Diceros bicornis minor: one gene and its partners. The protein of the gene in region 3 binds, or shares a complex with, the protein of the main gene of each other region. Links are inferred from orthologs where the notes say so. Each region holds a gene or a part of one and is shown on either strand. Other genes may lie near its edges.

Region 1 (7,552 bases), on a different chromosome or scaffold from region 3:
CTTACCTGAATGGGAAGAGCTCAGCTGGAAGCAAGCAGTTAGCAAATGAGAAAAGTAGGTGGTAGTAAAAGTGTGGAGAGCATTCAATAAAAATCAAAGGAATCTGAACTTCATGCAGTGTACAATGAGGAGCCACTAATGGTTTATCAGCAATGAACAATCTATTAAAAGAATTTTAGAATAATCAATCTAATGGAAGTGTACAGGGTGAACTAGAAATGGAGAAACCATTTAGGAAGCTCCAGGTATGAATTAAGATCCCAAACCAAGATAGTAACAATGGCAACAAATGGATGAGGCATAAAGGTAGAATTGAGCAAAGCTGGGTAACTAAAAAAAAAATAGTGGAAAAAGAGAGTTAAAACGCTACTAAAATGCTACCTTTCTCATTATGCTGAGTGTGAGATCCATACTACTCCAAACACCAATTTCCCCTTGTATCTTTATAAATAATTCTAGCCCTTAAAGTTGACATTTTTCCCCATTAGCATTGTGTCAACATCAAACATCACTTATGTTGTTTGCACCAGAGAAAGTAGGTTGAGACTGTGTTACTAACATGTTCAAATTAAAAGACAACACTCCTCCAATCTGAGAAAAGAATGAGTCACCAAAAAAAAAAAACCCAGTGGGAAGAATATAATAAGAACTGATTAAATCCTACAGTTTTGAAATCTTTTAATTACGTGAATGAAAAATAAGTCCCTCCATAGGAATGTATTTTTACATTTAAAATACTACTCACTTTACCATGTGAAAAGGAGTTTCTAAAAAAATGTTAGGAGTACTATTCAATTTTATTATAGCACTTAACTGTGAATGTTTAAAATGGTTTCATATTTCCAAAAAGTTTAGTTGCTAAAATACTTATTTAGAAATGTATTTTTAACCAAGTCAAAAATGCAAATCATTTCAACAGAAAAAAAAATTTTTAAGTATACTATTACCTTTAATTCATGATAATCTATTGCTTCATCTTTGTCTGTGTCAAATAGTTCAAAAGCATCTTTAATTTCTTGTTTCTGCTCCTCAGAGAGTTCTCTTCTTTTTTTCCTCTTTGTTTTGTCTACTACAAGCTCACTTCTATGAAATGAAACAAAAAGTTTTAGTTCACTTTAATCCTATTCTCCTATGCCTCTAAATGATTAAAATAAGATTCCAAAAATGGAACACAAAAATTAGCCAACGAATAATTTTCTAAATTTCTAAAAAGAAGGTATTTTGAAGAAAGATAAATTTCCCTTACATGAGTCAAAGCCCTGCTCATTCCATAGTCTAAGCTATTATAAATCGGCACTTCCCAAAACTGAAAAGTGTTACAGGTTATTAAAAGAAATGAGGACCAAATCCTTCCTCCTAGCTTTGTGTTTATTCCCACGGTGGAACAAACAAAAACTGTGAATAAGAAACATTACTTTTATGTCAGAAACCCCAACAAAAAACAAAGCACCCACACTTATTAGTCACATCATTCTACGATATAAAGTGTTAAAAAAAAGAAAGTAAAATTCCTAATTGACCATCACTATATATTTGGTTTACTTTTGATAGTTTATCATTAAGTTATCAAAACTGCTACACAAAAACATATAATTTACCAACTAACTTACAAAGTGTTTTGGCACTGTAAGTTAAAAATGTTTTTCTATTACATGTTTCTAATAGTTTGGCATTTTATAATTTCTTCCGTTGATATTAACGAATCAGCCAAAATACTGAGTCTAAAAATATCACGATTAAACACCAAAAAAAGTAATACTATTTGGGCTAATTCCATATAATTACGTGAAGAATCAATGGTCTTTTTAAATCTCTCTTAACATGTAAACTTAATTTCTCACGAACTCTGGAAAAACTTGAAAAGGAAATTTATTTTAAAAGCCAGAAATGTCTTCCTTAAGAGATGCCGATCTAAGTGTTCCAAATTTTCAAATGGGGCTGCAACACTTGTAATTGAGAACAAATTTTGAAACAGAAGAATTCTGTAAAACGATAAAACGTAAAACCCAGTTACTTTTATTAGAACACCTTCTCTATTTGCATTTGAAGTTGTTTTGTTCTCCGAAATCTACAAAAAAACACAGGCAAGAGATGGCTAGAACTGGACCAGGAGCATGACAAAGCTGAGGAAGATCTTTCTTCACACAAGCTTGGACATTCCCGGGGTCATTCTCTTCCCAGGATTCCGGAAGGCCAAGTCCACAACAGACCCACAAGTGACCCCATCCAAGAGGACAACGATTATCCCTTGGCAGAACACGGCACCGTTTTAGAGTGGCGTTAACTACATAGATATTTTTAAGGTAAAATGTCTAGATGGGGCTGGGGAAGGGGCAAGAGAGGGTGAGAGGCTGGAACAGAATGAAAGGTAAAGAAACTCAGGAAATAAGGAACTCTACGACATTACCAATTAAAGTCACTAAAATGGGTCTCCGGTTATACCGTAAAGCAGAGCCCCGAGAGAAGAGCAAGGAGGCCTTTTATCTTACTTCCAAAACTTAAAGGTATGTATGTGAGCAGTACTGCAGCTGAGGTTAAGGCTGCAGACCAGGAGCGAGGAACTGAACGAATGGATGCTCCATGGCCTGATTTCTCGCAGAAACACCGCGAGATGAAACCTCGCGATATTTCACTTCCTCCTTGCTACTAAAACCACTCGTCCTTTTGGCGGTCCAAAGCACAGTGCTGCCAGACATGACTATGCACGGGGCTCATCACCTGCGGGACACCAGGGGCTCCAGGGTGGGGAGTCCGGGCCCGGGAAGGTTGGCCGAGGCTCCTTTCCCTCATCCCAAACTGCATCCCCCTTCCTCTCGCCTCGGCTCCAAACTGCCTCCCTTCTACACACACCCGCCCTGGGGCCCGCTGCGGGGTGGGGAGAGCATTGCCGCCTCCTCATTACCGACCTCAGAGTTAAACTCATTTTCTCTTCGGACAGAGACGTTTCTCTCAAGAACGACTTTAAACCCCTACCCAAGGCAGCACGACTTCCACAACCCGTTCAACAGACACCAACGACCTCGGCGGCCTCAAGGACCTCCCACGAGCTAGTCACTTCTGAGCTGGATTGGTTGAAATTGCTAATGTCCTGCCCATTAAGGCGGAGGCGGCACTAGGCCTCTGCTCTCATTGGGCGTCTTCCGCGTCAATCAACGAAACCTCTCTGCCGGCCTCTCCCGCTGCTCCTCCCGCCTCCTGGATTGGCCTGTTGAGTTTTCCCCGAATCCTTTGCGGAGCCGAGATCTGAGTGTCTGAGTCCCAGCGTTGCGGTTCGGGTGGCGGGTGGCTGCACCTCGCCTCACCCCAGGAGGGTTGCGGCCTGTGGGCGACGTTCCGGAGACACGACGGACGGCTCCGAGGGAAGGAGAGGGAGGGAAGAGAAGAAACACGCCGGAGGCCATCCTCCCGCTAGTAGGAGGGAGTAGCAAACTTCGAGGTCTGCGAAATTGGCTCCAGTGTTCTAAAACCTGGACGGCCGATGGCCTAAGGACACAGAGAGTTTGTTTAAAACGCAGATTTAAATGTCCCTTTCCCCCAATCTGATTCTAGTACGTGTGAATCTGCATCTTTTTTCCTTACAACCTGTCGAGTGATTCTGAGGCCGGTGCTGTGGATTATTTTTGGATAATAACTGAGTTGGATTATTAGGCTATTTACGGTGAAGCTGTACCTACACCGCCCTTGGCTCTGCTCTTCCTCCTTTTAACGGATTTGTTCGCTTATGTCCCTTATTTTCCAGTGCTGTAAATTGCACGAATATAACACTGCCAAACCAAGTCTCTTGAAGCTCCCTTGAGCATTGAATGTGTTTACTTGTTCATGTCTTGTACTAGACTGAATTTCTTCAAGGCCAGGACTCCGTCATGCGTTTAACGTTATTCCTAGTGCCTAATACAATGTCTGATGCATAGATGCTCAGTAAATATTTGTTGCATTGAATGGAATGTTGCTGTGAAAACTCAGAAAGTACTGACCTGAGCTGCAAATCTCATAAAGGAATAAAATAGCCTGAAGGTGGGAGTCGAGCAGAGGAAGGGGGAAGATATATAAACACTGATATATCTATAGAGAGATATGTATACAGGTTTAGAGAAAAGAGAACACAGCAGGGCAGAAGAAAGGCTTCCTGAAGGAGACGGTGTATATGTTAGACCTAAAGGATAAGCTAAATTTGGACTAGTAATGGTAGTATGATGGACTAAAGCTAAAAATTAATAGTTACAGCATAGCCGCCGCCCCCCAAAAAAAAACAAGAGTAGAAAGGGTAGTCTCGTAATCTAAAAATAAGCTGGTTCCTGACAATACCAATAAAACTGACAGATGTATGGAAGTGTAACAAAGGGAATATTGCCACTAATAAGGTTGGTAATTTAAAAGAGAGGTTTAAAAATTATTAAAATACTTTATCTGACTTCATGCTGCCAATAAATATTAATATCAAAATGACATAGTCACTTCAAGGAAAACAGATAAGGACTCAAAAAAGACAGAAAACTGAATTATGTCAATAACTGTAGATAGGACTGGAAAAATGATGCCCAAGTTCTGTACCAAGAGATAAAAAGGCATCCAGCCCACTCAGATTTATGGGTGAGTTTTAAAAATTCTTGAAGAGCTAATTCTTATGCTTTAAACTCAAAGCATGATGGGGAGAGCTTCTTAGCTTAATGTTTGAAACTAGCACAACCCTTATCATCCTAAACAGCATTTCAAGTCGCTGAATGTATGCTCCATGATGAGACTGTGTGCCTATCGCTCACCATTGTATGTGCCTCCCTCGTGTTTTATGTTCATTAGTGAACATATGTGCAAAAATCGTGGACGTTGGCAAAATCAATTTGGTATTATCTTCAAGGAACATTTCACTATAACCAAATAGAATTTATTTTAAAAATGCAAAGATAGTTCACAATATAAATCTGTATTAATTAATTATAATTCTAGGTTAAAGAGATCATCTCAATGTCCAAAAAGGCACTGAAAATATTCAACACCCATTCCTAATAAAATATATATTAATAAACTAGATATAAAAGGTACTTTTTTTTAACTTGAGCAACAGACTTAAAATGCTAGTGTTTCTCAAACCTAGTCCCTGAAACACTAGAATTTTGTGCTTTGTTTGTGGTAATTTCATGAAGAATGGGTGGGCAAATATTTGTGGGCAAATAATTTGGGAAGATAGATTTTTAAATGTTAAATTAAAATGTTTTCAACAGGATATCCTGTTGTAGGAATGACAGGGAAGTCACATGCATCACTTCTGCTCGTATTTTATTAGTGAGAATTAGTGACATGTCCACTCCTTTCCACCAGGGAGGCTGGGAAAAGAAATCTCTAACTGGAAAACTGTGTGCCCTGCTAAAACTTGGGGTCAGATCGTCTATTACTAAAGATAAGATGGGATTAGCAGCTCTGCTACAGACACCTTTAAAGCAGTTATCAACACTATCTTTGAAACTCTAATCAATGCTGTAATAAAACAGGAAAAGAAAGTGATATATAAAATTAACATCATGTGTGGATGAAATGATTACCTGGAAAAATCCAAGAGTATCACAGTATTGGAATTGATAAAAGAATTCAGTAAAGTAGCTGATGATCAGAGAAATTTGCAAAATCAATAAGCATTTGCAAAATAAAAGAATAATAACAATACGAAATTCCTTCAAATAAATTTAACGGGAAACCTGTAGGTAGAAAATCACAAAATTTTACTAAAGGACATGAAATTTGAATAAATTGAAAAAGAAGCTCTACTTCTAGATGGGAAGATTCAGTACTGTAAAAATGTTAATTATGTCCTAGATTAATCTGTAAATTTAGTATAATCAAAATAAAAATGCTCACATTTTTTTCTCGAATTTAACAAAATTATTCTAAAGATTGTCTTAAGAATAATTGCATAAAAATAACTTAAAAATTGTGAAAAAGAATAATAATACAAAAATTGCTCTACAGGATATCAAAATGTATTTGTTACTATGGTAATCAGAATAGTAAGTCCAGAGCCAAAGCCAAAAGTAGTTAAAACTTCTGGTTTAAGAAGGTAGTAGCATTAGTAATTGTTTAGTCTTCCTCCTGAAACCTTAATAAAACAATAGTTGAGAAATTAGTTTCTAATACTGAAGTGACCTAGAGAGGTACCACCAGCAGACAAAGTATTTCAAAAAATATCTGAAAGACCAAAAGAGATATATTGACATATTTTTTGATCAAAAGAGCTTGTTGACAAATGAGATCATCAAAATGGCATCTCAGGATTTGTAGGGGGTGACTAAAGCTTCAGAAAGAGTTGATCTACCTCTCAGAGTCCCAAGAGAGACTCTAGGTGTAGAGTTGTGTGGTACAGTCGAGGATGGAAGTGAGAAGAGGGCTAAATACAAAATGTCAATTCAAAAGCTCTTTAGGAGGGGCCGGCCCTGTGGCTGAGTGGTTAAAGTTCCATGTGCTCCTCTTTGGCAGCCAGGTTCGCAGGTTTGGATCCTGGGCGCTGGGGCACGGACCTACACCACTTGTCAAGCCATGCTTTGGCAGTGATCCATCTACAAAATAGAGGAAGATTGGCACAGATGTTAGCTCAGGGCTAATCTTCCTCAAGCAAAAAAGAGGAAGATTGGCAATGGATGTTAGCTCAGGGCAAATCTTCCTCAGCAAAAAAAAAAAAAAAAAAAAAAAAAAACTCTTTGGGAGACCACTGCACTTCAATTCTTCCAGATTCCCCTCACCAGTATTCTCTCTCTCCATGTTTATCTTGAACCCCACTCTTAAAAATGAATGAAGAATCAAAAACCATTAGAGATATGAAGAAAATCAACAGAATGAAAAATAAAACAAAGGAAAACAACTATCTAGGAAGACTCTGAGTCAACTTAGGAACAACTTAGGAACCAAAAGAAATTCATAATAAATTAATAACATTAGGCTTCCTAAGAGGTAGTCAAAAAATATTGTATTAGGGAATAGGATACTCCGAAAAAGGAACATTCTGAGAATAAGAAAAGACTGTTGAAAATAAACATATGATTGCAGAAATTAAAAATTTTATAGAGTGGTGAGATGATTTAATTGAGGAAATATCCCAGAACATACAGCATTCAGACAAAAACATGGAAAAATTGAAAAACATGGAAGACTAATGCAACAGGTGCATCATATGACTAATAGGAATTCCAGAAACAGAGAGCAACAAATGAAGGAGAGGCAGAAAAATATCAAAGAAATAATAGAAGAAAAATTTTGAGGAACTGAAGAGTGACAAGTCTCCAGATTGATAGGACACACCTAGTACTGAACAAAATAAATGGTAAAAGAAACCACACCTAGCTACATCAACAAGACATTTCAGGACATCAAAAATAAAAGAAAAAGTTAGCTTCCAGATGCAAGAATCTCATCTCCTGTAAAAGAATAATCATTGAACTAGTATCAGAGTTCTCATCAGAAACATTAGATACCAGAAGGTAATGCCTTCAAAATTGTAAGGGGAAATTATTTTGAACTTAGAATTCTAGTCCCTTTCAAGACAAAAAATCAAGTATGAGGGCCGGCT
Region 2 (7,691 bases), on a different chromosome or scaffold from region 3:
TCATTATATGCAGAAGTCTCAAGAGAAGGCAAAATGAAGGAGAAGATTGTAGTTTACCAGGAAGGGAATCCTTGTGGCAATGAGTGTTACTTGTTCCTCAATTCCTACACATTTATGGTCTAGGAATAATAGGAATACAAACAAATCTAAGACCATCACAATGCTCATAAGCTTACTGTTGCGAATGACAAAGGATGTTAAACACACATTACACAATCAGCAAAAAAGTATAAAGTAATAAACGGCGTGATCCTAACAATTACACACCACAAAGGAATATAACCACACGGGGCAGAAAAGAGTCAGAGAAGAGAGAGCTCACTGGGAACCAATGCAGGGATCAATGAAAACTTCACCTCAAATTGGGACCTGAAGGTTTGAGCAGGTGATTCTCAAGATACAACAGACATAGATGGAACTGTGCTTTCCAATCCAAAGCCTCAGGGTAACATCTTCTACACGTATTTTCAAGAAACAAACTAACTGCTACAGTATCGCTCATTTATTTGCACAATAAATAAATCTGAGCTAAGTATTTCCAGGAGAAACTAAGGCACAGAAACTAAATAACTCGCCTCAAAAGTAAAGTTAAAAAACTTATTGAGGGGCTGGTCCAGTGGCCCAAGCGGTTGGGTGTGCGCGCTGCGCTGCAGCGGCCCAGGGTGCGCGGGTTTGGATTCCAGGCGTGCATTGACGCACCGCTTGTCAAGCCATGCTGTGGCGGCGTCCCATATAAAGTGGAGGAAGATGGAGACGGATGCTAGCCCAGGGCCGGTCTTCCTCAGCAAAAAGAGGAGGATTGGCAGATGTTAGCACAGGGCTGATCTTCCTCACACACACACACACACACACACACACACAAAATTACTGACTTCCAGTCCAATGCTCTAGCAGACAACATGGAACTCCATTCCTAAAAGAGCTGGAGTTAACAGAAACTGGAAGCTATCTTCCTTAGAGAGATCCATGGGGTTGGAAACCTTTGGGGGAAAGCTTCTAGGTTAGGAATAAGTCTCTACAACTGAGTCGTTTTGGTAAGAAGGCTGAGACACAGCCAACCTACTCTGAGATAGTTCTTGTGAGAAACATGGTGATATTCCCCATGGAGATGATAAATAAAAGTGCCCACTGCCCACGGATCCCCTGACTCCAAGGATGAAGTATGACTCTCTTGCATGAATTGAGATTTAAGCTTAGCAGTAACCTTTTCAAACCACAGTTGTCTTTTTAACACACGTACACCACTCAGACTTCTACAAACACACTAACTGAAGAACACACACTAAGAGACATCCAAAAATGTCAATATTCAAACTGACTTTCTGCAAAACCCTGACTTTCCCAAAACCCTGAGTGATTTAAGGATATTACTCTATTTTTCACAATGATTTCCCTACATGCTTCAGAACCACCTCACCGTTACTCTGAAATACTTGGAGAAACAGGCTCAAACGGTAAGCTGGCCTGTCTGCGGTCATCTGCAAATCAGCAGGCAGCAGGAACAGAATTTCAGTTTTCTCCTAGTCCAGACCTCCAAGCATTTCAAACAGAAGGCTGCTGCTCAGTATAACCCCAGTCGTTGTAAGGAGCCTTCCAGCACAAAAAGAAAGTGCATTCTCCTAACAGGGGCTAGGAGCAAAGCAGTCAGGCATGAGTTTGGTAGGTTCCCCGGGATGATCAAAGCATCTTTCAGGCAAACCAATGCCTTCCTTCCCTTGTTCTCTTTCATCAAAGAACGCGCCTTACCCTGCAAGAGCTAAACTTGACCCAAACTCCCCAACGACTAAGAACTAAGCCTAAGAAAAGGAGGGCACAGTGACCACAATGCTGCCCAACATGAGAGCTGACATGAAACAGCAGAGGCGGAAAAAGCAGACTGGTCCTCACAAGGTGCAGAAGCAGTTCAATGGAAATTCCGGAGAAGAAAACCTCGAGCTGAGAGGTGAAGGAAGTGCCATCAGATAAAACGAGCAACATTCATAACAAATATTTTCTGGCAGCCTATTACGCGCTCTTCTGGGGGCTGCGGATACAGCGGCGAAACAGACGAAGCGGGGCAACACCGCGGGCCCAGGGAGCACTAAGCGACAGGAACGTTTAGCTCATTTCAGGAGGGAGGGCGGCAGGGAGAAGGGCGACGCTTCACGCCGTAACTTGGAAGACGGAGGTGCGGGGATCGGGTTAAAGCCTCGGACCCGGGCTTGGACGCTCGCTTGACCGCTCAGCCAGTTCTGAGCCGGACCCGCGAGCCATCGGTGAAGCCCAAGGTGCCCACGGAGTCGGGAGAGTTCCAGGGACATGCGCGGGGGCCGGCGCTCGGAAGCGCCCTGGAAGTAACAACTGTCTCTTTCTGCTTCTACTTCACCCCCTGTCCCCAAGCCCAGGACGGCGCCGGGGCCTCCCCGAGAACGCGGGCAGGTTGGCGGACGGAACCGACGCACGAGGAGAGGAACAGACGGATGAATGGAAGGCCGCGCGAGGACGGAGAGCAGAACTGCCCGGAGGGGCTCGGCGACTCCGAGCACGAGCACATGGGGACCCGGGGAGCGCCGCCGGGCAGCGCAGGAGGCGGCGGCGGGCCGGGGCGGGGGCTCCCCGCGACCGCGAAGTGCCCCGGGGCGCCTCGAGGGAGCGTCACACCGGACGAGGAAGCGCGGGGGGGCGCCGAGGGACGCGCCGGCGGGGACAGGGGAGGAGAGAAAGGGCCCGAGCGAGGAGACAGGAGGCCGGCGCCGAGCGAAGGGGTGAGGCACCGGCCCGCCTCTCGGAGAAGTCACCTCAGATCCCCGCGCGCCGGGACAGTTTGGACGTAACCGCCTCCCGTCTCGGCGCCCGTCCGCCTAGCCGGGCTTCGCCCGCCGCCGCCACCACATCTCGCCCCAACTCCCGCCCCGCTTCCGCTCGGCTAGGACTCGGCGCCTCACACCCACCCCCGCCAACTCGGCCCGCTCCGCACCTCACACACGGCCCGCCGGCGGCCGCCGCCATCTTCGCGCGCCCGCGCGCCCCAGCCCCGCCCCCAGACGCCGCGCCCACGTGACCTACCCACCCCCCCCCCCGGCTGGCGCGTGGACGGGGCCTTACATCACGTGATGGCATGGTGGGGCGGGGCCAAGATGGCGCTGCCCTGAGAGGTGAGGAATCTGCGGCGAGGGCGGCCGAGGCTGTGAGGAAGGCGGCCGAATGGCGACGTCTGCGACGTAGATGAGAGGCGGTGAGGGGTGACCGGGCGCCAGCACCCGGGCCGCAGAGAGTGGCCTACAGTGGAGCTTTCCTCCTCGCAGCTGGAGAACGGAGAGAGAAGGTGCTGGCTGGGTGAAGCTGCCGCTTTCTGCCTGGCGGGGCTTGAGGGGCCCAGAGTCCACGGAGTCCCTAATCACCCTGGTTTCCCCGGGGTCCCAGGTCTAGAGACATGACCCGAGATTGCGCTCCCCCGGCCCCGGGAACCGGGGCTCCGCTGAGCGGGTCGGTGCTGGCAGAGGCGGCAGTGGTGTTCGCAGTGGTGCTGAGCATCCACGCGGCCGTGTGGGACCGATACTCGTGGTGCGCCGTAGCCCTCGCAGTGCAGGCCTTCTACGTCCAGTACAAGTGGGACCGGCTGCTACAGCAGGGGAGCGCTGTCTTCCAGTTCCGAACGTCCGCAAACAGTGGCCTACTGCCCACCTCAGTGGTCATGCCTTTGCTCGGACTGGTCATGAAGGAGCGCTGCCAGTCTGCGGGGAACCCATACTTCGAACGCTTTGGAATTGTGGTGGCAGCCACTGGCATGGCAGTGGCCCTCTTCTCATCAGTGTTGGCGCTGGGCATCACTCGCCCGGTGCCCACCAACACTTGTGTCATCTCGGGCTTGGCTGGAGGTGTCATCATATATATCATGAAGCACTCACTGAGTGTGGGAGAGGTGATCGAGGTCTTGGAGGTCCTGCTAATCTTCGTCTATCTCAACATGATCCTGCTGTACCTGTTGCCCCGCTGCTTCACCCCTGGGGAGGCACTGCTGGTACTGGGTGGCATCAGCTTCATGCTCAACCAGCTCATCAAGCGCTCCCTGACTGTGGTGGAAAGCCAGGGGGACCCAGTGGACTTTTTCCTGCTAGTGGTGGTAGTGGGAATGGTGCTCATGGGCATCTTCTTCAGCACCCTCTTTGTCTTCATGGACTCAGGTACCTGGGCCTCCTCCATATTTTTCCACCTCATGACCTGTGTGCTGGGTCTGGGTGTGGTCCTGCCCTGGCTGCACCGGCTCATCCGCAGGAACCCCTTGCTCTGGCTTCTTCAATTCCTCCTCCAGACAAACACCCGCATCTACCTCTTAGCCTACTGGACTCTGCTGGCCACCTTGGCCTGCCTGGTGGTGCTGTACCAGAATGCCAAGCGCTCATCTTCTGAGTCCAAAAAGCACCAGGCCCCCACCATTGCCCGAAAGTATTTCCACTTCATTGTAGTGGCCACCTACGTCCCAGGTATCATCTTTGACCGGACGCTGCTCTACGTGGCCGCCACCGTATGTCTGGCAGTCTTCATCTTCCTGGAGTATGTACGCTACTTCCGCATCAAGCCCCTGGGCCACACTCTGCGGAGCCTCCTGTCCCTCTTCCTGGATGAACGAGACAGTGGACCGCTCATCCTGACACACATCTACCTGCTCCTTGGCGTGTCTCTTCCCGTTTGGCTAGTCCCCAGACCCTGCACACAGAAGGGTAGTCTAGGAGGAGCAAGGGCCCTAGTCCCCTATGCAGGCGTCCTGGCCGTGGGTGTGGGTGACACGGTGGCCTCCATCTTCGGCAGTGCTATGGGGGAGATCCGCTGGCCTGGAACCAAAAAGACCTTTGAGGGGACCATGACGTCTATATTTGCCCAGATCATTTCTGTAGCTCTGATCTTAATCTTTGACAGTGGAGTAGACCTGAACTACAGTTATGCTTGGATTTTGGGGTCCATCAGCATCGTGTCCCTCCTCGAAGCATACACTACACAGATAGACAATCTCCTTTTGCCTCTCTACCTCCTGATATTGCTGATGGCCTAGCTGCTGTGCAGCAGTGATGGAGGAAACAGGGCCAAGGGGAGGATGAATGGTCCCCACAGCAGCCAGACAGTTGGGCATGAAGAGCCAAGGAGTGAGAAGCAGATTTGATTTTTCAGTTGATTCAGATTCAAAATAAAAATCCAAGATCACCGGGTTTTCGTTTCGCTAATATTTAAAAAGCAATGGGGCCGGCCCCGTGACGTAGCGGATAAGTGTGCGCGCTCCGCTACTGGCGGCCTGGGTTCAGATCCTGGGCGCGTCCCAACACACTGCTTGTCCGGCCATGCTGTGGTGGCATCCCACATACAGCAACTAGAAGGATGTGCGACTATGACATACAACTATCTACTGGGGCTTTGGGGAGAAAAAGGGGAAAAAGGGGAGGATTGGCAATAGATGTTAGCTCAGAGCCGGTCTTCCTCAGCAAAAAGAGGAGGATTGGCATGGATGTTAGCTCAGGGCTGATCTTCCTCACAAAAAAATTAAAAATAAAAAGCAAAAAGGCTTAATTAAAGAATATTGCAACAAATCAAAGAACTTGAGTGTGCTGTAGCCCCCCGTCCCCTGCCTTGCAGTCTTCAGAGGAGGCCGGAGTGGACACTGGAGGCAGGAGAGCGTAATGGTTAACACTGCAGGTTCTGCTGTCAAGGTAATCTGGTCAGAATCCTTGGCTGCACCACTTCTTCAACTGTGTGAGTTGCTTAACCACTCTGGGGCTTAGTTCTGTCTGCAAGATGAGAATAATAAGAGCCGGCACCTCACATGGTGGTGTGAGGATCCAGTGAGGTGAGGTGTATGACATGTCCAGCCCAGTGATTGCACATCGTGAGCAATCAGTAAGGGAAAGTGTTATGATTACTCAAGGCCAGTCCTCATCTCAGCAAAAAGCCAGGCAAGCTAGAGAGTTTCTGGGGTGTCCTCGGAGACAGAGGAACCTTACTCCCCTGGCTTCACTTGCAGGAGAACCCAAGAGGAAAAGAGCCAAGTGCATGTGGTTTCTCCCATTTGGACTAGGAAGAGCTGAAGGGGAGAGGTGGGATCAGCTTGTTGCGTGTGTGGAAGGGCTGAAGGAAGAGGATCAGTCTCTGGGCTGACTTCCTGTTTCAGTCAACCCCACCCCTGCCTCAGTGTCTCTGCTGCCTGGCTGAGTGGTGCTGATGAAAGACCGGCTGGACAGCACAGGATCCTTGTCAAGGGGTCCCTCCTGAGACCCTCTCACACTCCAGTCTTGTCCAAACCTGTGTTTGTCTCTTCTCTTGTCAAGAAATTAGAGCTTAGGGAGCTGACAGAGTTTACTGAGAGGTCAGAATAGCTCTACTTGGGGGGCCATGCTCTAGCCTTGCTCTCTGTGAGGACAGAGTCTGGGTCTGCCTGGTTCACCACCGCATCCCCTGGTGCCAGCAGAGCCTGGCATGTAGCAGGAACTCAGTAGACGTTTCCTGAATGGATGAACCTTTCCCATCAGTGGGAAAATAGCAGAGCAGGTTTCCTGAGGCTGGACGAAGTTATGCCCCCTTCTTACCCAGCGTGGCAGGGAGGGGCGTAGCAGGAAGAGGTGAGAACTTTGGCCCGCCAAGGCCAGAAGCCAGGAGCGGAGCTTTCGGGAGCTCTTGCTTCTGCCGGGGGATGACTGCCAAGCCCTTTCCTGGAGAGGACATTCCTTTGGGGCTCAGAGGGGACTTAAGAAACCCTTCCCTCTCTCAGGCTGCCGTCTACGGCTTGCCTAGGAGGCAGCAAAACGCTGGAGGAGGGCACAGTTTTGCCTCACTGACTCCCTGGGCAGCCCTGGGAAAGGCCTCTGTCCTCTGGGCCTTGGTTTGTCCACGTAGACGGTGGGGGCTGGAAATCAAGGTCACAAACTTACATGGCTGCTGAGGCCAGGCAGGTAATGCCACAAAGGAGGACAGGGGAAGTGGGAAGCAGAGAGGACGCGTGCCACTAAGGGGACACCTCCAGCCAGTCGTCACCATGCTAGACCACAGGCCCAGTGTGGTTGACCTGCCCAGTCAAGGAAGCTTACAGACCTGGATTGTTATGTGACATCTCCCAAATTTAAAAAGTTTTCATAAAAATGTTGAGGCCCAGACAAAACACATCTGTGGTCTGAAATCAGCCAGTGGCGCCCAGTTTGCAACCTCCAGGCCAGGCTCCAGCTAAGCAGGTTTTCAATTTGGTGGTCATTCCCGCAGAAGGTCTGGGTGCCTGCCAAGCATGCCCAAGCAAGAGGCCCTCGTCTGGCCCCGATTGTGCAAGTTGCATAACAGACCCAGAGAGAGGAAGGGCCTGGCCTGAGGCCAGAAAGCAAGTTGGTCACAGAGCCAGGACCAGATATGGGACTCTGGATTCCCAGTCCCGGTCTTTCTCCTCCGCAAGCAAGGAGGCCCAGGAGTGGAGAGGTTAGAAGCACAGGCCCTGGATCCGGCTGCCCTTGCTGAACAACTGCACAGCTGTGTGACTGGGGCTCCCCGTGCCTCAGCTTCTTCACCTGTAAATGTGGATGGTGAGAGCCCAGACCTGGAAGGAGTGAGGACTCAGTGAGACGAGGCACGTGGAGCTCTCGGCATGGTGAGCACCCACGAAATGTTACTTACTGGTATAAAAATCAGGCAACCCTCCCCAGGCTGGGCTGGGGGACCTGGGGTGATTTTCAGCAGGGCTCTCA
Region 3 (7,916 bases):
AAAAAAGGGCAAAAATAAGTAGTTCCCTCTCACCAGGAGGTGGCAGTAGATTCTTCCAGAGGCAAGGTTCTGGTTTGCCCGTGGGCTCAAGTTTTTTGTGGTGGCTATTAAAAAAAGCAGCTTGACCTCTCCAGAGCTGACTTTTTGGGCCTGACAATCTGCACAAAAAGGAAACGGGAAAGGAGACTGAAGAGGTGACAAGAACTAACCACATCCTCTTTAGTGACCTGTTCACTCCCAACTAGAAAAATGACACCATTTCCTAAATGCATCTGGGCTAAGAGTTAGGAGGTAGGGATGAAGGCAAGTGAAAATGATCAACTTACACTACTCAGGGCTGTTCTTCATTTTTGCTTCTTCAATTCTTAAGTTGCTTCCCTTCAGTTAGTTAAGACAATGGATTTAAGTTTCCACCACTTCGAGCAAGATGCCATTTTAAAGATCAGAAGTTAAAAGGAAAAAATGTAAACTAGATCTATCTCAGCAGAGCTAAACCAGAAGAAATCAAAACAGGAAATTACAAGTCAGTTGAACACACGCAAAAGTCACAGGTACTGCGTGACTGCGTGATTGCACAAGCCAGTTGGCCTGACAGGCAATGGCAAACATCCATTAACTAATAGTGCCAGACCTCTCATTCTTATTCCAACTCTCTACCACATATCCCAAAACTTCATTTTTGCCCAGAAACTCTTAGACACTTAATCAAATAACATTAGTATAAAACATGCCATGTCATGAAGCTCCTTGATATTCATGATGACTCAGCAGCTGCTGCAAAACATAGAGAGGTGACAGCCCAGGATAGTACAGCAAGCAGGTAGTCTACAAATCCACAAAAGTTCCAGTAAAGACTAAAGAAAGTCCTTATTTTAAGATGAACAAAATCGATAAATTAAAGAGTATTCTTTTGTATACTCCTGGACACATACTTTTCTTTGGTAGTTTCTGCCAATGTTAAGTAACACCTACAGTGTTGATCAAGAAACTCCCAAACATCTTTAATCTCAACCCAAAAGCTAAAAATGTATTTCCTTTTTCAATTAAATGGCTGAGGTAAGAAGCTGAAAGCATTTCTGATAAGGGGAAATGATAAAATTATCAAGCTCTAAAACAAAACTACACTGAAATTATATCAGCTCTAAGACAATTTGGATCATAGGTGTTATGTTGTTAAGGCATCATCTCCCCCAAATTAGATTTTTATCTAAATACCTTTAAAAGTAAGCTGTGATTATAACTTCTGCCACCTGGAATATATTAGCTCCTTTCTAAACTCTGTCCAGACCATCCAATGATCTGTATTTAAAACATTTCATTTTTTATGTAGTAACTTTCCCTTAGGGAGACCTAAGACAGCACTCAGACATTTATTCTTCAGGAGAAACAGAAAGCATGTGTGTCTAACTTCCATTCTACAAAAGGATTAGGTTAAATGGCCAGGCTTGTGACCTGAATTCTAATCTTAAATCTGCCTGCAAGTATATACCCCTGTTTCTCACAAAGAAATCTGAAAACCAAGTACTTTCTGCATATATTTACCTGGGGGGAAACTGGTGAGAGATAATAGTAATGCCAAGACTTCTAACCATTAGTAGAGGACTACTTAATATTATAAACCACAATTTTTACTATCAAAAAATTTCCCTCAAATCATTACTTTTAAAATTCTGTTGTTTTTTAATGATACAATTTAACACCACTACCAAACATGTTAAAGTGTCCAATATTCATCATCATCCAGAATAAGGCAACCTAGGAAGTCTACCTTTAACAGTATGCAACAAGTTATCAGACCCTTTTGCTGTACGGTACTTCTGTTTTTTAACAAGTTTAAGATATACACTTACTTCCCACCTCAGCATCACAGAGAAGTTTTATTAGTGACTTTTATCAAAATAAGTTTTTAACATTTTCCTACTCAATCCCCATAATAAACACGTAACGTTTAAAAAACGAAATTTCCTCAGACTCAAATGTCTCATTTACAATTAGGATAAACTCCTTTTCATAATTTCAAACACCCATGAGTGCACAAGGTGGTTAAATTCTAAGACCACCAACATGCCTGGAATGTCAAAAGTACCTAAACTTCCAGAATACGCCCCATAATATTAAAATATTTTGTGCATGAGACCAGAACTGGAGTCCCGGTCAACTGTGCATAACGGCCAAGTCTACCCTCCAAAATAAAGGGAAGGGGAGGGATAGAAAGTGGAGAAGGAAGAGTCTCGCAGCAGAGAAAAGACGTAAGGGTGGAGAGGGACTTTCAAAATGCCCCACTGCCACGGTAAGTCTAACCCGGTTACGAAAAAAAAAATCTAAGCCAATGCTCTCAGATCGGGGAGGAACAAGAGCAGAGGAGATGGAGAATTAATTAATAGGTTGAGACTAAGTTATTCCACTTTCTGTGTAACAGCGCCCCCGCCAACCCCCGGAGGCCGATCCCTCCGGGCAGCCCCCTCCCCACACGCACTGAAACGCGGGAGACTAGAAAACAGCAAGCGCAGAGGCCTCCAGCCACATCTTTTCCTTTCTCCCTCGGGAGGACGTGAGTAATACCCTCAACCCCCCAATCCCCGCCAAAAGCGAAAGAAACGCGGGCATCGTGGGCCTAGAGTTGCTGTTCCCGCCCTGCGCCCGTCCAGGGGAAGCCCCTGGCCTGGAGGGCTGGCGAGAGGCGGCCCGAACCACACGTGGGTGCCGCAAAGATGGGCCTGTGTCAGCCCACTTCCCGTCGCCACCCCGCCCGCCTGCGCTCCCGCCGCCTCGCTCGGGCCTTTCCGCAGGCCCTCCCGTCCGCTCCACGTGGGGCGCCAGGGCCCCTCGCTGCCTGTTCCCTCCCGCCGAGTTCCCGACCCGCTAGGCCACCGCCGCGTCGGGGTCCCGTACCTGGTGCTGTTGTCGCCCCTGCTGGTAAGGCTTAATTGGCCCCTGGTGGCACCGCCGCGTCCGGATCTTGCCGCCACCGCCCCCTCCTATTCCTCCGGCTCCCGAGGCCATGGCGGAGCCTCCGCTGCTTCCCCCTCCCGGGCGGGTAAGGGGGCGGGAGAGGCAGAGGCGGCGGCCTTAGAGCACCCCCGCCCGGCCCCAGCCCAACAGTCCGCCCGCACTGCCCACACAGCGGGGCACAGGCACACCAGGAACGGCGAGGCTGCGAGCTGGAGTGGCGAGAGGACGCGCGCTGGCAGCGGGGCAGGCGGTGGCGGCGACAGAGGCCGAGGAGCTGGCTCCGGTCCGGCAGCCTCCCGCGGACCCCCGCCTCTGTGTATGTCACTGTCTCTATGGAGATCCCCCGCAGAGGACAGCGAAGCGGCTCCGGGCGCTTAGGCCTAACTCGACGGCCGGCTGATGGGGATTCTTCTTCCGTCGCCCTAGTCGTAGCTGCCGCAGTTGAAGCCGCCGGCGCCGCCCGCCTACCCCTCCCCTTTGCGCGCAGCGCCCGCCCCGCCGCCGTCGTCGTCCCTGCAGTCGCCGCTGCTGCTGCGCCTATTGCCGCTGCTAAGGCCGCCGCCGCGGTCGCGAGCCAGAATGCCGTCACTCGTCAGCGCCGGACCAGTTTGCGTCATCACGCTGCGACCGCGTGATAGGCGAAGAGGAAGGAAGGGCTTGTCGAGCCCGCGCTCTTGGCCGCGCAGCCCGCTGGGAAACGTAGTTCAGCGGAAGAACGCGAATTCTCAGGAGGACGAGGAAGGAGATGCGCGGATCGCCGCGAAGTCACAAAGCCAGAGAGTCTGTTCACTTTGCCGCTCTTGGCTGTAAACTTAAACTTTGAAAGAGGCATTTAACATCAAAACAGTAACGTTCCCACTCTACTTCTCCCCATCATTTGATAAAGGGAGCAGAAAATAAGCAGATAATAAAATCAAAGACGGGAGCTAATAACATAAAAAGAAAAAAAACTGGTTGAAAAAATAATGTCCATGATCTTTAAGCCTAAAGCAGAATTAGAAAATATATACAGTTTCATTAATGTTCCATTAAACATATAAGAGCTTTGTCGTCAAATACACAAAGGCTGGAATTCCAGCTCTGCTGCTCTCTGGCTTGACCTTGGATAAGTCAAAACCTGAGCCTTGGCTTCCTCCTCTATAACGTGAAACTTTAAAATCCACCTTATAGAACTGTTGTGATCATCTACGTAGAGCACTTAGTATGTTTTCTGGTAGACAATAAATGGCTACAATTATTACCTACGCAGTCAGCTCACATTAGAGGTAAGCAGTCTGTTATCAGTAATAAAAGTATATATATATTTGCTCCAAATAGAAGGCATCATATTTAGGAAAGTGAGTTAGGCTCAAAGATGGAATCCACAAAATACGAATAGAGATTGTAGGAGTTGACCATTAGGAAGGTCTTGGTGATCACGCGGTCTAGCCCTCTCATTCAACGGACAAGACAGCGATCCAGAGAATCCAAGTGGCATGTTGGCGGACACTGAGCTGGGCAGTCAAAGCCAGGACTATAACCCAACTTTTCTGTAAGAGCTGAGACAAGTAACTGAATGATTAGGGAGAAAAATCTGCCACTGTGAAAAAACATAGGCTTAATGTTCTGTTTGAGCCAGTTGATCTTAAAGCTTATAAATAGCTTTAGAGTCAAATAGACAATTTCAAATCTGTCACTTACTAGCTGTGTAGCCTTGGGGGAGTTACTGATCCTCTTTCTAAGCTTCAGTTTTCTCATCTGCAAACAGAATGAATATTAACCTCAACAGGGTGGCGCGTCTGATAAAAGGACTAATGTATATATTATAGCTCATAATGATTGCTTAGATAGAAAGCATCTAACATCATCCAGCTATCAGACACAGATAAATTAACTCCAAGACTTTTATACCATCTCCACCAACAAACTGCACAATTCAAACCACTGTATAAATCATATAAGTCAAATTGTAAAACGAAATTTACAGTACCTTGGAATTTGCAAGGAACCATGTTGTATCAGACCTAGGTTTACAGAGCAAATGACGGCTTTCAGTGGCGCTCCTGTCCGTAACCACCAAGACTATAAAAAGTTGCAGAATATGATAGACAGAATGAATCCACTTGCTCTTGTGCTTCCCTGTCCTAGCTTCATGCCCCCTTACACCACTGACTCCCCCCTGGACTCTCCAGGTATGCATACTCTTCTTCTGGAAGCACCTCATCCTTCTTAAATACAATTGTTTGTCTTTCACAATTCTTAGCTAGGTATTTGGCAAGCGGAGTAAGGTAATTTTTAATAAGCTAACTCACAGGGAAGATCTGTACCTAAATCTTTAAATGGGCTCATATATAGGAGATGGAACTGTAGCCACATCCCATCTTCCCTTTTCAGCCCACCGGACTCAAAATTCCCAGCACAGGAGAGTGGACTGGCTGGGACTCAAAACCCATCCCTTTCTTGGAGGCTATTTGATGTGTGGGGACAGCCTTCACAGCCAAGCTTTGAAGGAAGGGACATGCAAAAGAGCTGGGCCTAACTAAAACGAAACTTTAGAATAGAAAATTGGTAGGATTTGAGGAGATATGGGAAAATCCACATCCCCCTTTAGACTTGATCTCAATTGTTTACCCCATTTTACGGTTATTTCTTTGAAGTAAAACAACATTTGAGGGAACAAGAATACATTAGTCCCACATTTATGTGATTGAGTTCCTGGAAACTTTACCAGGCTTGACAGCAGAGAGAGAATAAGAGACAAGAAGAAATGCGCATTCAAAACTTCTTAATTTTGGGCCAGCCCCCTGGCTTAGCGGTTAAGTGCGCGCGCTCCGCTGCTGGCGGCCCGGGTTCGGATCCCTCGGATCCCTGGTGCGCACTGACGCACAGCTTCCCCGGCTATGCTGAGGCTGTGTCCCACATACAGCAACTAGAAGGATGTGCAACTATGACATACAACTATCTACTGGGGCTTTGGGGGGGAAATAAATAAATAAATAAAAAAAAACTTCTTAATTTTACCTTGAAATAGTATCAGCCTCACTATGGGATGAAGTAACTTCTTTTGCATAGTTTGAGATTCTAAAATAACATTGTTTCTGTGCTGAAATTCAGTTTGGAGTTACAAATCACCAAACCTAGAGTTCCTCACACATTTTTGGTACAAAATTCATTCTTTAAGTGGGAATTACTAGTAGTAGAATGGGTTATAATAAGTTATTCTGATTATAACTTACAGAATCTACCTGCATTCAAATAAATAATTATTGAACATTTCTCTAAGAGATACTATATATAAATTGGAAAGAATATCAAATGGCATGGAACAATAATAGGGGTTCTTGAAATCCTTCCAGCCATATTAAGAGTTAACAGGTTTTGAGGAAGGAAATTATTATTATTTAGTACTTATAATTAAGCAATTTCTATAGATCATTAAATTTAATCCCTAAAAACCCTATGAGATTCTGTAGTTCACAGCATTGGAAGCTATCACTTGTAAATTTTGTATTATGAGCTAGCTATCTTCTTTATTCATCCTTTCCTTTTTATTATTAACTTCTACTCCCACTGGTCTTTAGGCCTAGACAAAACTGAAATGATTCTGAGAAGTGACCTTATGTTTTGGGTTGTTTCACTGAGTATATTTTAATAGAAACTCATTTCTCCCCTACTAGGTTTTAAACTCCTAGCAGATAAGGAATTTTTCTCATAGCTATATCCTGAACACACAGAACAGTGTTAACAGTCACTCTGTATATACTATAGCTCATTTGCCCAATATCCAATTACTACCAATGTCAACTGTTTCCATTTTATTAGAATAAATAGTACAATGATGAAAACAGCTAAACTGATTTATATAACCTTTCCTGGCTTGCCTGTATTCATTTACTATACTGCATAACAAATTAATGTTTCTCAAATTCATTTATTTATTCCTGATAAAGCGTTTGTAAGAATCATGAACAAATCCCCATCATAATGTTATATAGAGATTTTCACGTAATTCTAATAATCCTGAGAGAAATTATTTTCCTCATTTGAAACTGGGGCACTACTGAAGGGATAAAAAAATAGTTAAAAAAATTATTTTAAAAATAATAGCAGTCAATACTTGAAATGATTTCTCTTCCTCTCTCAAAGCCCATGCTCTCACTTTGCCATCGTTCTGCCATTTTTTTGGCCAGTTTTGGAACCTACCTATCACTTAAATGTTTGTTAGATCCTGGTTCTAGTCTTGCTGCATAGTGAGAGTGGATATTTGCCCAGCTGTATGATGTGATAGCCGTTGGAGAGACCAGACTCAAATCGCTGGCTTAGGATCACCTGGGAATGCAAGGACTCCCATTATGGCATGGGGATATGAGGACATGTTGTAGGATGGGAGTGAGTGTACATCAGCAGGGGCGTTTTGGTGGAAGGGATATTGTACATCAGGCCTCCAAATCTCAGAGAGAAGCTATGTTAGCAAGATCAACAGAATTCAACGTATATCATAGAAGGTTAGAGAAAAAACTAAGAGCTATTCATATTCAGACCAAGTGGCAGAACCTGACACAAAACACAGAAGGACAGGAATTCCTTCCCAATAACCAAGCTGAAAACAAAGATTAGCCCAACTTCACTTTTCTTAAACTTGAACCTGGTTTTTTCAGCCAAAACAGATGGTGTATTGGGAGAGATCTCAATTTATGAAAAGCCTATTATTATTAGAGTCCCTGTCCTCCAAGAAACTTCTTTATTTTTCCCCATATAGTATTGGAACCGTCTGCCAATTATAAATTAGCAAATAGAGAGGCTGCTGACCCTTCTCTAAGAGATAGGAAATATCCACTAATTACAAATGAAATACAATTTAGTCTAAGCCCAACCTGGATGAAAAACCTCCTCTATATATTCTTCAAAAGGTAAGACAATTCTGGGGGCCAGCCCCAGCCCCATGGCCTAGTGGTTAAGTTCAGCACGCTTGCTTCAGTGGCCCA
Region 4 (7,260 bases), on a different chromosome or scaffold from region 3:
GATGGTGAAAACAGTCTTCTTAACATTGTTGAAAGTACCACCTTATATTGCACGTGAGGGCCAAGGACATTCGATTGGGAAAAGCTTAATGAATTCTGGCCTACTGACATTGTAACAAGCGTGCTAGATGAGCTGCTAAAGGATTCAAGTGATGCCTGCATCCTTCAGGATTATTTTGATTGCAAGTGACAGAAAACCCAACTGAAAGTGAGGAAAACATGCACTTTTTTTTCTCATGCAACAGAACATTCCAGGAATAGGTTTAGCTTTAGCTTGATCCAGAAACACAATATACTGGATTCTAGCCTCTCTCTACATCACTGCATTGCTCTGTTCTGTAACGGCTTTGTTCCCAAGCAAGTTCTTCCCTCATGGCTAATAAACAATCAAAGTTTTAAAAGGTTAATTTCAGGGAGTGAGAACTTCTGTGAAAACACCTTCACAGTTCTAATTCCAGTGGTAAAGAGAACAATTGTCTGAGTGGAACATCTTGAGAGTGAATTTTCTTAAGTCATAGACCCATCCCCGAATCAGCCCTGTGGCCAGGGTACTGGAGTACTCTGATTGGCTAGGCCTGAGTCACATGCCACCAATCAAAATACAGGGACTGAGAGTAGGGGAGGGGCGGGTCGGCAAAGGGGAGCCAGGGTGCTGAACAGCAGATGTCCACTAGAGACCCACTGTCCAGTAATACAGTCTAGTGTACTGGATGCCCATCCCATATACTTAACGAGTTAATCTGAAGACTAAGGATATCTGACAGTGCTCCAATTCAACCAGACAAGAGTGCAAAGATTTGCATTTTTTAACGTGACCATGCAGGCAAAAAAGGTAAAGTTATGTACTTGGCATGTACATAACACATGCAAAATCTCTGCTATATGTAAGTGCTCCACCAAAGATTTCCTTTGAAAAAAGAGTTTTATTGGTAAAGAGTGTTTGGAAACCAACAGCGCAAATTGGGGGAGTTAAGGATTCCCTGCTGCTCCCCAGATCTCTTTTAAGCAGGAAAGAACGTGCAATTCCCCGACTCGGAGAAAGCGCAAGTCTTACGGGGACCCTGGAGCACACTTCAGGACAAGCCTCAGACAATGGTGCTTGGTAAGTTCTGAGCTCAGTTAAAAAGCGATGTTGGAGAAAACTCTTCTAAACTGTATAATTAATTAATAGACAGAAACAGCTCCACAAATCACACCGATACAGACCTTGTTGTCAGGAGAAAGAAACTCTTGTTTTTGTAGCATTTGGACAAGAAGACCATTCAAGGAGTGGGGTTGGAGGTAAGTTTGGAATCCTCAAAGGAAATTCTTTGGATTATATACCTGGGTAAATATTGGGAAGCTGATGTTTGTTTTAACTCTTGTGCAAACAAAATGAAAAAACAAGTTTTAGTTATTTTTTCTGATTATAGGAGCAATGCATGGTCATTTCACTGCAGAAACTATGAAAAGTGCACTAGCTTTTCAGGGCTTGCCTGTGCTTCCAACCACCCAGGAGAGACTCTGTCCCCGTCTTATCATATTTCCTTCTCTTTTTCTCTCTCTAATGTGTATTTTTAACAAAGTTGAAGTTACAGTTATATTGTTCTGCTTTTTTCCCCTTCTTGGTCATTTTATCCTTTATTATTTAAAAATATTATTTTACACATACAAAATTATTTATATGTAATATATATGTAATAGTGATTCATAATATAACCAACACCTATGAACCAACTACCCAACCCAAGAACTAGAACATATCCAATACCTTACATCTTCCCAGGTGGTCCTCCCCATATCCCTTCCTATCCCTAGAGATAATTACAATCTGTAATTTCCTATTTATCATTCTGATGTTTTATAGTTTTATCACAAATGTATCTATGCATAAACAATATATTGTTTAGTTTTACTTGCTTTTTAATTTTATTAGGAATTTTGAGCTCATATTATACTATATAGTCTTCTGACATTTGCTTTTTCCACGTAACATTATATTTCCAAGATCCACCCATGTTGTGTTTGTAGCTGTAGCACACTCATTTTTCTTTGTTGTGTAATATGCCATTGTGATAATATCCACAATTTATCCTTTTTCTGTTAATGGACATTTGGCTTGTTTTTTTGCTATTATGAACTGTGCTGCTATGAAGATTCTTGCAAATATCTCCTGGTGCACATGTGTAAGAGTTTCTCTTGAGCATATTTCTAGGAGTAGAATTGCTGGGTTTTACGATATGGAAATATCCAGCTTTAAAAGGTAAGTGTCCTGATTTTTCATTTGGCAATGTTTCATGAATATTTGTCTATGTCATTAAAAATTCTTCTTTACATAAAAGAAAAAGCAAGGTAAAAGGATAAAACATTATGCAGATGCAAGACTATTATATTTGTGAATATTGTCTGACCACAGCAGGCTCTGAATACATATTTAATAGCTTTAGGACAAAGGCCACACCCATACATATTGTCAATCAGCACCAATAATTTATACAGAACCCACAATATGCTAGTGTGAAGTGTTCAAGATAAACAAAGCTGGACACTAAAGTGGTAAGACCATATTTTAATCAGTAATATACTATTGCAATAGGGAAGAGTCCAGCAGGAACTGAACTCAACTTGGATTTGTACAGAGGTGACTGGGTGTTTCAAAGGGAGAATGAGAGAACAGGGAAGGGGGTGAGCTACACAGAGTCAGGGAAGTGAAAAATTACAAAAAGTGAGAAGGAAATGTTGGTCCACATGAAACCATCTGGGTTTGCTAACTGGCGATTATAGAAGTTAGGCTCCTACTCTCCCACAGAGGCTGGGAGACAGGGGCCCCATCTTCAGATATTGGCCAGAACAAACAGTAAATTCTTCTGGCAGCCTAGAGTTTTCTCAGTCAGGTACTTTAAGAGGGGCTAGGGTCACCTAGGGATACGACCTTGAGCTGTTAGAAACTATGTTAGTGTTTTGTTCAAGTCTTTATAGACCATGGTTGAGGCCTAGAAGAGAAAATGGCTCAGAGGAGCCTGGCTAGAGTTCTGTCAAGGAGGGAATCTTTGTTAGAGGATAGAGGAAAGACGTGGTGAGGGTGGGCAGAGCACTGTTCCTCTCCTCTCTACCTCTGCTTACTCCATTCCCTAGACCAGGAAAAACCTTCCCTCTCTCTTTGCTAGGCTAATCGCTACTCATCCTTATGGCTCAGTTAAGGTGTCACTTCCCCCAGGGAAGGTCTCCTTGACTTCCAACCCTCCAGACTGGGTTAAACTCCCTTAGCATCCTTACATAGCTCTGTCGTGCACTTAGCACATTACACTGAAATAAAATCTGTTTATGTACTTGCTTCCTGACCTGATGATAAGGACTGGGCCTTATTCATTTTGGGACGTTGTGAGCACTAATGTATGTTGCATGAATGGACATTGTGACACTCCTGGTCCCACTATCTTTATGTGCTGGACAAAGCAGTAATCTCCTAGTGCCACTCTGCTGCCTACTCTCCATTCTCCAACTAGAGGGCTAGGAGGATCTTTTACAAAGGTAAGTCACACCTCGTGTCATACCTCTGCTTCAAACCCTCCAGTGGCTTCCATTTGCATGAAGAATAACTTCAACTTTCTTGCCATGGCCTGAAGCACCTGCAAAGTCTGGCCCCAGCCAACTGTGAGTCTTACCCCACCTGTCCTCATTCATCCTCTGCCGGCCATATGCCCCTTCTTTCTATTCTTCAAACAACAAGTTTGTTTCCCTGAGGAGCCTTCATTCCTGTTCCCTCTGCTTGGAATGTTCCACAGCCACGACTTTGCAAGACTGACCCTTTCTCATCATTCATATTTCAGTGGAGACGTTGTCACCTCCTCAGAGAGGCCTTCCCTGACCACACAGGCATTCTCTTTTCCATCACCCTGCTTTTTTCGTCTTAGCTCTCCTTACAAACTGGCAGTTATTTATTATATTTTTCCCCCCACCAGCCTGAGAACTCCATTAAGTCAGGGATCTTGTCTGTCGTGGTCGCCACTGTGCCCCCAGCGCCTAGAATAGTGCCTGGCACTGGGATGGTATTCAATAAAGGGTAAGAAATCATTGCAGGCAGTTCTGGAATCACTTTCTCCAAGCAGGGCCGACTCTAACCACGTGGGAGGGGTGAGGGCTGTGGCCTCTGGCATGCCGTGAGTGACTGCTCAGCCGCAGGCCCCGCCCCCAGCCCCGCCCTTGTCCTTGTCCTCCTCCACAGGTCTCCATAAAGTTCATTTGGCGGCGCGCCGCGCGGGGGCTTCTGGGAGCGGCCGCCTCGGCCAATCAGGAAGCGCGGGCGAGCGGCGCGAGAAGTGGCGGCGGTGTTCTCCGGCCGGGACCCCAGCGGCGGAGGCGGCTGCGGTGCCAGGTAAGGGTGAGCTGGCCGCGTCCTTCGACCCGGGACTTGCCCTTGAACCCCGGGCCCCGACGTGGGCGGAGCCGGGTCCCCACGCTCGGAGCCATGCTGCTCACACTTCCCGTTCGCCTCATGGCAGCCGGGCACGCGTGACGCCGGCGACGCGGCGCCCTGGCGAACCGCCCCCCGTTATAGCGCGGGCCGCGCCCCGGAGTGCCTTCCGTCTGCCCTCGTTCTGGGTCCGGAGCCCGGGCCTCCCGACTCCCCTCTCCCGGCGCTGGAGCGCTCTGCCGCGGCGCGCCACGCCCCCACCCTTCCCCTGCTCTGCGAGCCCACCATCCCCACCACGACCTTCTGGTTACCTGCCGACCGCGCCCTGCTGGCTCGCTCGCCCCTCGGGGGTACACCTTGTCCGGAGGTGTTGCCCTCCGAGGGAAGGGGTCTTTAGGGCGAGGGCGACGACGCTGTGAGCCTCTCCCAGCCCTTGGCCTGGCTCCTCTACCAGCATCCGGGGGAATGCTCTTCCCCATCCAGGGAGATGCTAGTGATTAGAACCCGCAGGTGGCCTGCACTTTCTCGGGCCCACAGCACCCCACCTTCTGCAAAGACAGTGCCCAAGTTTACGGGGTCTCGTTTTTTAGCGCAGGGGTCTTTGGTCAAAGTTTAGGCGACCCTTTGACAGAGCCGCTGCTCTGGGTTTGCCCCTCTGTCAGGTGTGAGGAGAGTTTTTTTTTTTTCTGTTTTGGCCGAAATGTCTTTCAGCATACGAGGGTCACCTTTAGTATTCTGTCTGGGGGCGTGAGAGGGTGTCCTTGGGCATCGTAGCTTTTCTTTCGTTCCGCTCTTCTCCTTTGTGCGTTTGTTTGGAACGTTTTCATATTTCATTCATGGTAATCTCATCGAGGCTCATAGTTTTAAATACCTACATATTAGGCTAACATCTCATATTTATATCTCCAGCCTGGCTCTCTCCCTTCACCTGCAGCCAGCTGCCTGCTTGATATCTCCACTGGGATGGTTGATGGGAACTCAAACTGACGATGTCAAGATAGGGCTAGCAAGCCCTCCCCCCCATCCCCCTTCCCAAACTGCTCTTCTTGCTGGTTTTTTCTCATCTCAGTAATATAAAAGGCTTTGGCCAATAACCTTTGAGTCATCCTTGCCCCTGCTGTCTGTCTCACTCCACCTGCAATGATTGCCGCCCTGGGCCAAGTCACCACCACCTCTCACCTGGATTATTGAAATAGTCTCCCATCTGGTGCCTTGGCCCCTCTTCAGCACAGCAGCTAGAAGGATCCTTTTAAAACACAGGTCAGATCGTATCACTCTTTTACTCAAAAAATCCTCCAATGGGTCCCTCGTTTAAAGACAAACTCTTTACAGTGAGCTATAAGGCTTTACATAATCTGACCCACTGTTACTTTCCCACTCTCCTTTTCTGCTACCCCCCCCTTCCGCATGTCAGACATGCTTCAGCCTCAGGGCCTTTGCGCCTGCAGTTCAATATCTATGTGGTTTACATCCTCACTTCTTTGAGGTTTTTAGTCAGGGGTCACCTAGTGAGGCTGTCCCCACTTCCTGCCTTCCTTTACTGCTTTAGTTGTTGTTCTTAGCACTTATATTTTACTTACGTATATTGTGTGTTGTTGGTCTTCCCCTCTAGAATGTGAAGGGGGGCTTTTTGTCTGTTTTTTTCCCTGGTGTATCCCCAGCACCTAGATCTGGAACACAGTAGGTGCTCAATAAATATGAAATAAATGCATGTTTCTGGCGCCGTTACAGGCTTGGGGATACAGTGGTGAATGAGACAGGCCTGCCCTCATTGAACCGTTGTTCCTGTGGAGGACACCACCAGCAGTAAACACACAGGTATAGAATGTAGTGTCAGGACTGTTTTTTAAAGGAGAAGGATATCAGAACAGAGACCTGGTTGAAATGAGACAGCAAGTCATGGGAATGTCTGGGGCAGGAGCATTCTGGAAGGGGAAGAGCAAGTACAAAGACCCTGAGGTGGGATCAGCTGGAGATGTAGTGAACTTGAATGTCTGAACCTGCTTCTTGATGGACTGAAGTAGAAAATAAGGTAGAGGGAAAGATGCCAAGAAGAGTGAGGAGTGAGAGCAAAGACCTGGAGGTAAGGGCCTGAGGTGTGTTCAGGGAACAGGTCGCTTTAATTCAGGAAATATTTATTTGTTACTTGTTATATGCCTCTTAGCAGCTGAGGATTCAGTGTTGAGCAGTCTGTGGGCCTTACCCTATAGGAATTCTCCATGTGCAGAGAGAGACAGATGTGGCAAGAAATCATCACAACTCTTCCACTGGAGAAGCACAGTAGTAGGTTCAGAATAGTGTGAGAGGGGTTTGAGGTAGGTGGGACTGCCCCAGCTGACTTTGCAACATACATAGGAGTCCCCCATGTGACAAGGTAGGTTTGGGTATGTGTTACAGCAGAGTGTGCACCTGCATGTGCAGGGGTATGAAGGGAGGAAACAGCATGAGGCACCCCAAGGAGTAGTGAATTGCTAGGGTATATTTGGGGGGAAGGCAGTAAGAGATGAGGATGGTAGGGGTGGCAGTGCCCGTTCTTTGGAGGGCACCCCGTGTAGCCGTGTCAAGGTGCAAGCACTTCCTCCTGTAGGGGATGGAAGGTGTCCCTGAGAGGATTAAGGCAGGGGAGCATTTCAGAAAGACCTCTCCTGCCCAGGGGAAGGTGGGTTAGAGGAATGAGAAGGCTTAGACTGTTGAGATAATCAGGCGAAAAGCATGCGAGTCAGAATAGGGGCGAGAGAGATGAGGGTTCAACTTTACAAAATGTTTGAGAGGTAGACCTGGAGATTGGCTGGATGTTAAGGAGAGGAAGGGGAGCCTGAGGTGACTCCCAGGTGGTTGCTGGCTGAATTGAGTGGGTGCTGATTGTTT

Evidence for each region.
Region 1: NUP153 (region 3) and CETN3 share a complex: the UniProt entries of both Homo sapiens proteins name them as parts of the nuclear pore complex. The link is inferred for Diceros bicornis minor from reciprocal best matches to the Homo sapiens genes NUP153 and CETN3.
Region 2: NUP153 (region 3) and NUP188 share a complex: the UniProt entries of both Homo sapiens proteins name them as parts of the nuclear pore complex. The link is inferred for Diceros bicornis minor from reciprocal best matches to the Homo sapiens genes NUP153 and NUP188.
Region 4: NUP153 (region 3) and NUP93 share a complex: the UniProt entries of both Homo sapiens proteins name them as parts of the nuclear pore complex. The link is inferred for Diceros bicornis minor from reciprocal best matches to the Homo sapiens genes NUP153 and NUP93.

The regions. Positions count from the first base shown.
Region 1 is NC_080740.1:16,898,048-16,905,599, forward strand, and holds the start of CETN3 (centrin-3), read right to left. Parts: upstream 3,015-7,552; 5' UTR 2,924-3,014; coding exon 2,907-2,923; intron 1,084-2,906; coding exon 948-1,083; intron 1-947. UniProt on the Homo sapiens protein: Plays a fundamental role in microtubule-organizing center structure and function. As a component of the TREX-2 complex, involved in the export of mRNAs to the cytoplasm through the nuclear pores.
Region 2 is NC_080767.1:36,691,656-36,699,346, reverse strand, and holds the start of NUP188 (nucleoporin NUP188), read right to left. Parts: upstream 3,008-7,691; 5' UTR 2,989-3,007; coding exon 2,957-2,988; intron 1-2,956. Other genes in the region: DOLK (dolichol kinase), read left to right, coding at 3,413-5,029. UniProt on the Homo sapiens protein: Component of the nuclear pore complex (NPC), a complex required for the trafficking across the nuclear envelope. Required for proper protein transport into the nucleus.
Region 3 is NC_080753.1:49,678,036-49,685,951, reverse strand, and holds the start of NUP153 (nuclear pore complex protein Nup153), read right to left. Parts: upstream 3,004-7,916; coding exon 2,893-3,003; intron 1-2,892. UniProt on the Homo sapiens protein: Component of the nuclear pore complex (NPC), a complex required for the trafficking across the nuclear envelope. Functions as a scaffolding element in the nuclear phase of the NPC essential for normal nucleocytoplasmic transport of proteins and mRNAs.
Region 4 is NC_080771.1:10,272,588-10,279,847, forward strand, and holds the start of NUP93 (nuclear pore complex protein Nup93), read left to right. Parts: upstream 1-4,259; 5' UTR 4,260-4,353; intron 4,354-6,123; exon of another isoform or gene 6,124-6,210; intron 6,211-7,260. UniProt on the Homo sapiens protein: Plays a role in the nuclear pore complex (NPC) assembly and/or maintenance. May anchor nucleoporins, but not NUP153 and TPR, to the NPC. During renal development, regulates podocyte migration and proliferation through SMAD4 signaling.